Daphnia pulex: one gene and its partner. The protein of the gene in region 1 purifies or fractionates together with the protein of each later gene. This does not show direct contact. Links are inferred from orthologs where the notes say so. Each region holds a gene or a part of one and is shown in the gene's direction. Other genes may lie near its edges. The genes, in order: something about silencing protein 10-like and U3 small nucleolar ribonucleoprotein protein IMP3-like.

The links.
Region 2: the proteins of something about silencing protein 10-like (region 1) and U3 small nucleolar ribonucleoprotein protein IMP3-like purify together in Homo sapiens (affinity purification with mass spectrometry; 3 studies listed by BioGRID and IntAct, with this or other methods). This does not show direct contact. The link is inferred for Daphnia pulex from reciprocal best matches to the Homo sapiens genes UTP3 and IMP3.

What each region holds. Positions count from the first base shown.
Region 1 is NC_060024.1:11,303,242-11,307,383, forward strand, and holds something about silencing protein 10-like, read left to right. Parts: upstream 1-1,635; 5' UTR 1,636-1,729; coding exon 1,730-1,927; intron 1,928-1,998; coding exon 1,999-2,221; intron 2,222-2,287; coding exon 2,288-2,412; intron 2,413-2,470; coding exon 2,471-2,612; intron 2,613-2,678; coding exon 2,679-2,796; intron 2,797-2,861; coding exon 2,862-3,573; 3' UTR 3,574-3,614; downstream 3,615-4,142. Other genes in the region: protein D7-like, read left to right, coding at 97-167, 232-265, 335-470, 542-689, 746-820, 890-981, 1,051-1,206, 1,267-1,334. UniProt on the Homo sapiens protein: Essential for gene silencing: has a role in the structure of silenced chromatin. Plays a role in the developing brain. Part of the small subunit (SSU) processome, first precursor of the small eukaryotic ribosomal subunit.
Region 2 is NC_060021.1:8,086,388-8,089,750, forward strand, and holds U3 small nucleolar ribonucleoprotein protein IMP3-like, read left to right. Parts: upstream 1-1,502; 5' UTR 1,503-1,663; intron 1,664-1,724; 5' UTR 1,725-1,761; coding exon 1,762-1,898; intron 1,899-1,961; coding exon 1,962-2,069; intron 2,070-2,127; coding exon 2,128-2,334; intron 2,335-2,401; coding exon 2,402-2,474; intron 2,475-2,537; coding exon 2,538-2,561; 3' UTR 2,562-2,617; downstream 2,618-3,363. Other genes in the region: transcription factor VBP-like, read left to right, coding at 97-585, 644-712, 793-915; uncharacterized protein LOC124194159, read left to right, coding at 2,863-3,003, 3,066-3,129, 3,195-3,295, 3,355-3,363. UniProt on the Homo sapiens protein: Component of the 60-80S U3 small nucleolar ribonucleoprotein (U3 snoRNP). Required for the early cleavages during pre-18S ribosomal RNA processing. Part of the small subunit (SSU) processome, first precursor of the small eukaryotic ribosomal subunit.

The sequences.
Region 1 (4,142 bases):
TTATAGAGGAAAGGAAAACGTTGGATTTAGTTAGTTATTTTCTTAGTTTTAGTTCTAGACAAATAATAATAATAACAATTGGAAATAGGATTGGAAATGATTCACTTGAAAAACCTTACTGAACGTGTTGGGTGCCCTTTTGACCCTGTGCACGTGGTTGAAAGACGGTGAGTGATATCATTTTTGTGTTTTTTTTAACAAGTAGTTCAAAATTGTGATATTTTAAAACAGGAAATTACAACATCATTTGGTCAAGTGTATTAGAGTAAGTACTTTTACTAGTTTACTGTTATCATTAAATACCTTTACGTCTGTGATGCAACTTAATTTGCAGAATCTTCCAAAAAACCATGATTTTGTTCAATGCCAATATTGGCACCTGCACTATGTTAGAAGGAGTGAATTGAATGATCACCTAGAATCTTGTGAGCACAAGTTAGCTAAAGAGGCTAATAAGAAAACGTGGGAGGGTAAGTCTAAGTCCATATATTATGTTTCATTCAGTAATTTGGTTTATTAATTTGTATTACCACCTGTTTAGGGGACAAACAAACAAAGTTTTTTCAACCAAAACTGAAGTATAATGAAATCCTACCATCTACTGAGTTATCAGAGAGCTGGGATGATGCAACATTGACTGCTCCTAGCTTCTCGTCTGAAATAATGAGTGCTAAGGCCAACTACATGACGTAATTGTATTAATATTGCTGCCCATAGATTTTTATGTACAACTATTCCTCTTTAGTGTTCCTCAAGGGTTATCCAAAGCCAAGCGTAAGGAATACCGCGAAAACGAACGAGAACGCTTGCGGGAGAGGGAGTATACTTACATAAATCAAATCATGTTGAACTATTTTATTATTTGCTAAATATTTAATTTCTACTTTAGAGAAAAGGAAAGAGTATTTGTGGCTAAAGGAGAGAAAATCCAGCAAGTACAAAAGGAAACGATTATTCCAGTACCACCTCGAAAACCAACTGGTAAATTTTTATCTTCTCGTTTACACTAAAATTAGATTTTCTTATTCAATTTGTTTACACAATTTGTAGAGAATCCAGTAAGACGCCTAAGTCGAATTGCAGCAAACTTTCAGGTGCCAAAAGAGCATGTTGAAGAATCAAAAGGACTTCCTTCGCCTGCTAGATCTTCACGTAACGGTAGTGCTGGAAGTACTCCTGCAATCGGAAGAGGCAGAGGACTTTTGGGTGAGTTAATATGTCATTATCATAAGTATCAAAGAACGTTATCTTAATATTATTTCCAAGGTTGGAGCCATATTTCTGAACCAGACCGAACATTTCGCTTCTCCCCGGAAGAATTTCCTAATTTATAATTAGTAGTACCTACTCCATAATACGGTCACCTACTCCAAGTTTGAAATATCCTGTTTCACTTTTCAAGTTCATTTGTTATGAAAACACAGACCTTTTTTGAGTTAATAAATTTCATTTTGGGTTCAGGTATATCCTTTTCAACAAAACAAGACTTAGTTTTAAGAAAAGAAATTCTTGGAATTCCAAAAATGCTTTTCCTTTAAAAAACCATGAGAAAAAAAATCAAAAAATACCGTCAAAAAATAATTTCTAGTTGCAATGGAAATTTGGCAGCAATGCATTCAAAGATATTGCAGACGAACACCTGTCAGACGAGCTGTTCAGTATTCAGTTAGATTTAGAACCACGTGTGGGATAGTTGGAACCTACAAAGTTGAATAACAATTAAGTTAAGATGGGCAAGCCTAAAGGTACATCCAGTCGTAAAACGAAAGTGGATGCTGTATCGGACGACGAAGAATATCAGGATGCCGTCGACCCAAATGCATCGGAATTCATATATGATGCTGTTGACGAATACTACGAAAACGAGGAACGCGAAGGTGCAGAGAAATTGGCCAAGTTGATGAAAAGGCCCAAAAGATACATACAGGTATTAACATGTGTGAAATTACTCTGTTAATATCTAGTTTTTTATTGGTTGTAAATTTTCCTATATTTCAGGAAGATGTATTGGGAGTAGCTTCATCATCTGACGAAGAAGAAACATTGAAGATGTCAAAAAAGAAAAAGCTGAAGAAGGCCCGTTTAGATGCAGAACCATTACCTCCCCTTGATAATGAACTGGAAGATGAGAAGGAAGGAGATGATGAAGAAGAAAATCTGGAATGGGGAAAAAAAAGATCAGCATACTACAATGCTGACTACGTTGATGAAGAATGGGATGGTATATTTCGATTAAAAAATGCATCTTCTGTTATCTGCTACAGTAATAACCATTAAAATATTCTAGATGCAAATGAGTCGGATGCTGAGGTAGCAGAACTAGAAGAACAAGAAGCACTTGCAATTCAGCAAAGAATGGCCCAACAGTTGGAAGAAGCAGATTTTGGTTTAGATTTCATCACTCACTTAAAAGTGACAAATTAATGAAACTAAAGTTGGAGCATCTTATTTAATCTTCTTTGTATTACAGGAAGCTGACAAAATCAAAGGACAAACATCTGTACAGGAAGAGAAAATTGACGTTAATCTTTCTCATTTATCCAAACGAGAAAAACTTAAACTATTGACGGAAGAGTCTCCAGAACTGATTGAACTCGTTGAAGATTTCAAGTGTAACTTCTAATCGCTGAATTAAATTATCGATGTTTAGTATTAAAAACACCTATCTTATCTTTCAGGTCAAATGGCAGAGCTTAAAAACAATCTAGAACCCATTTTAAAATTAGTGACGGAAGGAGTGCTACCTGCAAGTCCAGGAGTGGATTACGTCACATCGAAATACCAGCTCATCCTCAAGTATTTTACGTACAACTCCTCTTCTTGAAATTTTATTACATTTTTCGTCTGTTTATATTTTTCAGCTACTGCACACAGATTGGCTATTATTTTGTGCTGAAGTCTAAAAGAATATCCGTGCAGAATCACCCTGTCGTTAAACGTCTGGTTCAGTTCCGAAGTTTGCTACATCAGCTTGAAAATGCAGGTGCAAGTCTACAGCCGGAGATCGACAGTTTGTTAACGAAAATTAAAGAGGATGAAAAGATGACTCGTGAAGACTTTGTACGCACCGTCATTCCTCCAAGAAAGAAACTGCGCATTTTATCAAGTCGTCCTCAGTCGGCTGTAGTCGAGACAAGCAAGCCAGAGGAAAAGAATGCTGTCACGAAAAAGAAAATCAACGTACCCTTGACTCGAGACGAAGAGCAAGCATTAGATTTCTACAAAGCGGTCAGTAAATCAAAGAAAGATTCTGAAGATGAAAGTGAAGATGGTGACGAAGATCCAAACCTTGATTTGACTGCTGGAGCTGATTCAGCCATAAATGCTTCAGAGCAAGGAGAAGAGGACATTGGCAAACGTGGCATCAACTATCAAATTGCTAAAAACAAGGGCTTGACACCGCATCGGTCGAAAGAACAGCGCAATCCTCGTGTCAAACACCGTATGAAGTTCCGAAAGGCAAATATCCGCAGGAAGGGCGCGATTCGCGAGCCTCGCAAAGAACTCAAGAAATACGGCGGTGAGATCTCTGGCATTAAGGCGACCGTCATTCGAAGTGTTAAACTTAAGTAAACCTTTCAATATGTCTTTACAAATATACTGTTTAAGTGTAAGTAGCTTGAATGATTTATTTTTTTCATTTCCTTCCAAGTAATTGGGTAAGAATGAATACGTTCTTCGAGGTAACAAACGGTTGAAATTTTCTAACATTTCATTTTCCATTTCAGTTGCCCTTGCGCAGTTTTTTTTTATCAAGTTGTCTGATAGTAATCTTTCGGTAGTAGTAATCTTTCATATGAATGTTAACACTTTGCTGTTTACATTTTGCTTATGACAAATCTTTTAAACCTGATAGGCTGATATCTTAAAAACCTCGTTTTTTTTTATAAATTAGTCAGCAATGAATGCTTTTATCTGAATCATAAAAGCAGCAAAATGTTTATCATTCTTGTCACATTTTAAATGTGAAATAAAGGCAGACATTTTCTGACTATATTCCTCTGCTATTTAGAATTTCTCAGGAATAACTAAACAAACTAAAAACGAAGGTGTTGTTCCACGAAGTCATAATTTAGCTCCGCAAGATATCAAAAGTAAAAATGAATGTAATAAACGATCGACTTTAGGTTAGTAGGTAAACA
Region 2 (3,363 bases), on another chromosome or scaffold:
TACATTTCATGGTCGTCCTCTTGATCTTACTACAGTATCGAAATCATCGTCGTCAGTTACTCGAGTGTTATCGACTCGGTTAGAAGTGCTCATTTGATGATGGAGACTAAGAACTCGATCTTGAATGCGTTACTCCAACAGGCCATTTTTAATAGTCAAGGTGTTGGTGCCAACGTTCCCGTGAACTTAAGCATGTCGTTAAACGACGAAAGAAGTGAAGTTACCAGCTCGTCATCGTCGGCCGACGATGAATCGCCCGCTGATTTGTCTAGTCGCAGTCATCACCAACGTGAAGATTCGCCGATTCCGCCATCGTATCAACATCATCCTGACTCATCACAGCTAATGCATGCTATGGCGGCTGCTTTCTCCTTCCAGCGGGATCTGATGGCGCAACAAAACAAGTCTGACCATCTTAATCAATCAGATGCAACAAGTCCGGCCTCACCTGCTGATCCTTCTCACCTGGTTGCCAAAGCCTTGGCCTCGGCCACCACGAGAAGGCCGAGGAGTGAGAAGAAACCTATTCCCGATGATTTGAAGGATGGCAAATATTTTGAACGCCGACGTCGGAATAATCTTGCAGTAAGTGATCTATAAAAATTTCCAAATTACAGAATTTTAAAATTATCTTTTTCTGAAGGCTAAGAGATCTCGAGACATGCGGAAAAACCGTGAGGATCAAGTTACAGTTCGCGCCAATTTCCTTGAGGTAGGATTTAATATCTAGTAAACAATTTCACTGGTTATTCATACTTCAATTTGAGTGTTTTTTATTTTGTAATTTGACAGAAGGAGAATTCGGTCTTGAGAGCTCAAGTGGCCACTTTGAGAGACGAAGCATTCGCCTTGAAGCAAATGTTATTGCACAAGAACGCTTCCGCCATTCTCCGTAGTCAAGCTGCCACCAGTTGAGCTTACGTTGTGGGGAGAACAAACAAGAACTTTGTCCACGTTATTGTTTTTACCTTTATATTTACCAATGCTAATCCCTCCTGTTTAACTGATTTCTCTTTCGGTTTCAATCCATCACGTCTTTTATTTATCATTTCTTTTTTAGACGTGCTCGTCTGCTATCAACCGACTAAGCTTCACAGTGCCAAAAATAAACGAAATAGAAATCAGTTTTTCTCTTGTCGACAATCTTTCAATCATGACCATCCGTCCTTGATTTTTTTTTAAATATTACACAGTTACCCACATGTTGAATACATTAAACAAAGTCCTTGGTGAAGACATCTTTTATCAAGAAACTCGAGTCAAAACTCAGAATCAGTCCTAAATGGAAACGTCGCATGTTTTAACAATGTTTTTTATGTTGGAAAAAACAGGAATTTACGTGGAAGCATATGACGCATATTTTTAGTTTTAATACAAGCTAGCTGTTGGCGATGCACTTTGAAATAATAAATATTTAAAAATAAGAACGAAGGGCTCGAATATTAGATTGTAGCATGCTGCCACCTAGTACTTTGTTTAACTATTAAAGAGAATTCAGCAGCCACACACGTGTGAGATTTCCGTCGTCTGCAAGTTGTCTTTTTTTGTCTGCTGTTTGTAGTTTGTATCAAACTTTTCGTGCGTTTCGCGAGGGGATTGCAAGGTTTAGCAGCTTTATTCTTCAATAATTAATTTCGAAATCAGCAACACATCTCTGTTCCAGGTAGAGTACAACGTCATAGAAATAAACTCATCGATTTTTTATTATAAGAATTAACTCATAGGATTTCTGTGCAACGTCTGAAAAACTAACAAAACAGAATGGTCCGAAAACTAAAGTATCATGAACAGAAATTGTTGAAAAAAGTAGATTTCATCTCCTGGAAGCTTGACAACAATGTTCATGAAGTGCAAATTCTTAAAAGATACAGAATTCAAAAAAGAGATGATTACACAAAGTAAGTGGATTTTAAATGACAGATTTCTTAAGAAATCATTTTGACGATGTATCTTAATTGCAGGTACTGCACACTTGTAATGCATGTAAAAAAGTTGGCAAACAAGATAAAGGAGCTCGACCCCAAAGACCCTTTCAGAGTGGAGTGCAGCGCTGCTCTTTTGGAAAAACTGTACAATTTTGTTTTCATATAATTTCTGAAGGTTACTTGACTGTTATCTTAAATTTAGATATTCCATGGGTTTAATTCCAACCAAGTGGTCCCTTGATCTTGTTTCCAAAATAACAGCATCCTGCTTCTGTCGAAGAAGACTTCCTGTGGTCATGGTTAGGGCAAAGATGGCAGATTCCATCAAAACTGCAACTACATTTGTGGAACAAGGACATGTCAGAGTTGGTCCTGAAGTGGTAAAAGACCCAGCATTTCTTGTTACCAGGTACTTATTAAAACTTTTCAATTATTGATTGCATATAAATGACTCAGTTACTTTTTTTATGAATTAGAAATATGGAGGATTTTGTGACCTGGGTAGACTCCTCAGCTATTAAGAAACATATTATGGAATACAACGAGATGGTAATAATGATCATTATTGCAATTTTTTAAAGAAATTAATCAATTTCATTCCTTCTATTTCAGAGAGATGATTTCAATATGGCTTGACTTGTTTGACGAAATGCAACTTGTATGGAAATACATCCCGTTTTCTATCTACTAAATATCGCTCATTTCCTGTCATTTTTAGAATAAAATTAATTCATTGAGTTAGATAAGTATACATTCTAGTTCAAACTTCTCCTCTGAGGTTAATGGGGTTTCCGTAGTGCTTCAAAGGGGGGGAAAACCACGGTTAATCTTAAAGGCTCAAACATTCATCGACACGGTAGGTTATTACTAACCCTTAACCGGAAAATTTATACAGTTTTCCATTCACTTTTGATTGAATCACAAGTGTCAAGGAAACATGGCTGCCAATATGTCCTTCATTTTTGTTTGCTTAATATTCATTCATCTAGTTTATTCAGGATTACCTTTTAGATCCAAAAAATTCAACAGGCAATCGAAAAGTACATTGCGGAATTACCAAACTGAATTCTTTAACGAGGTAATGCTCATGCATTTATTACGTTTATATGAAATTGTAATACGTTTCACTAAATTGTCAAGGTTTTCCAAGACCATTGGGACCGTAAAATGAGAACTCTTGATCCAAAAGCAAATAAGAGTTTGTGTATTTTATTATTCTCCCAATTTTATAATGGAGTGATATAAAATGTGTTTTACTGTAAAATTCAGCTGCTACTTGTGACGCCAAAGCAATTGCTGCCGAAAACAGGAATGCAAAATGCAAACCGCGTCTTTATGTTGTCGCCTTAGAAAAATTTGAAGGTTTCAAGGTAAAATAATTCTCCAATTAAAACTAAAAATCATCCTGACTTGATGAATTTTACACCAGATCGAACCG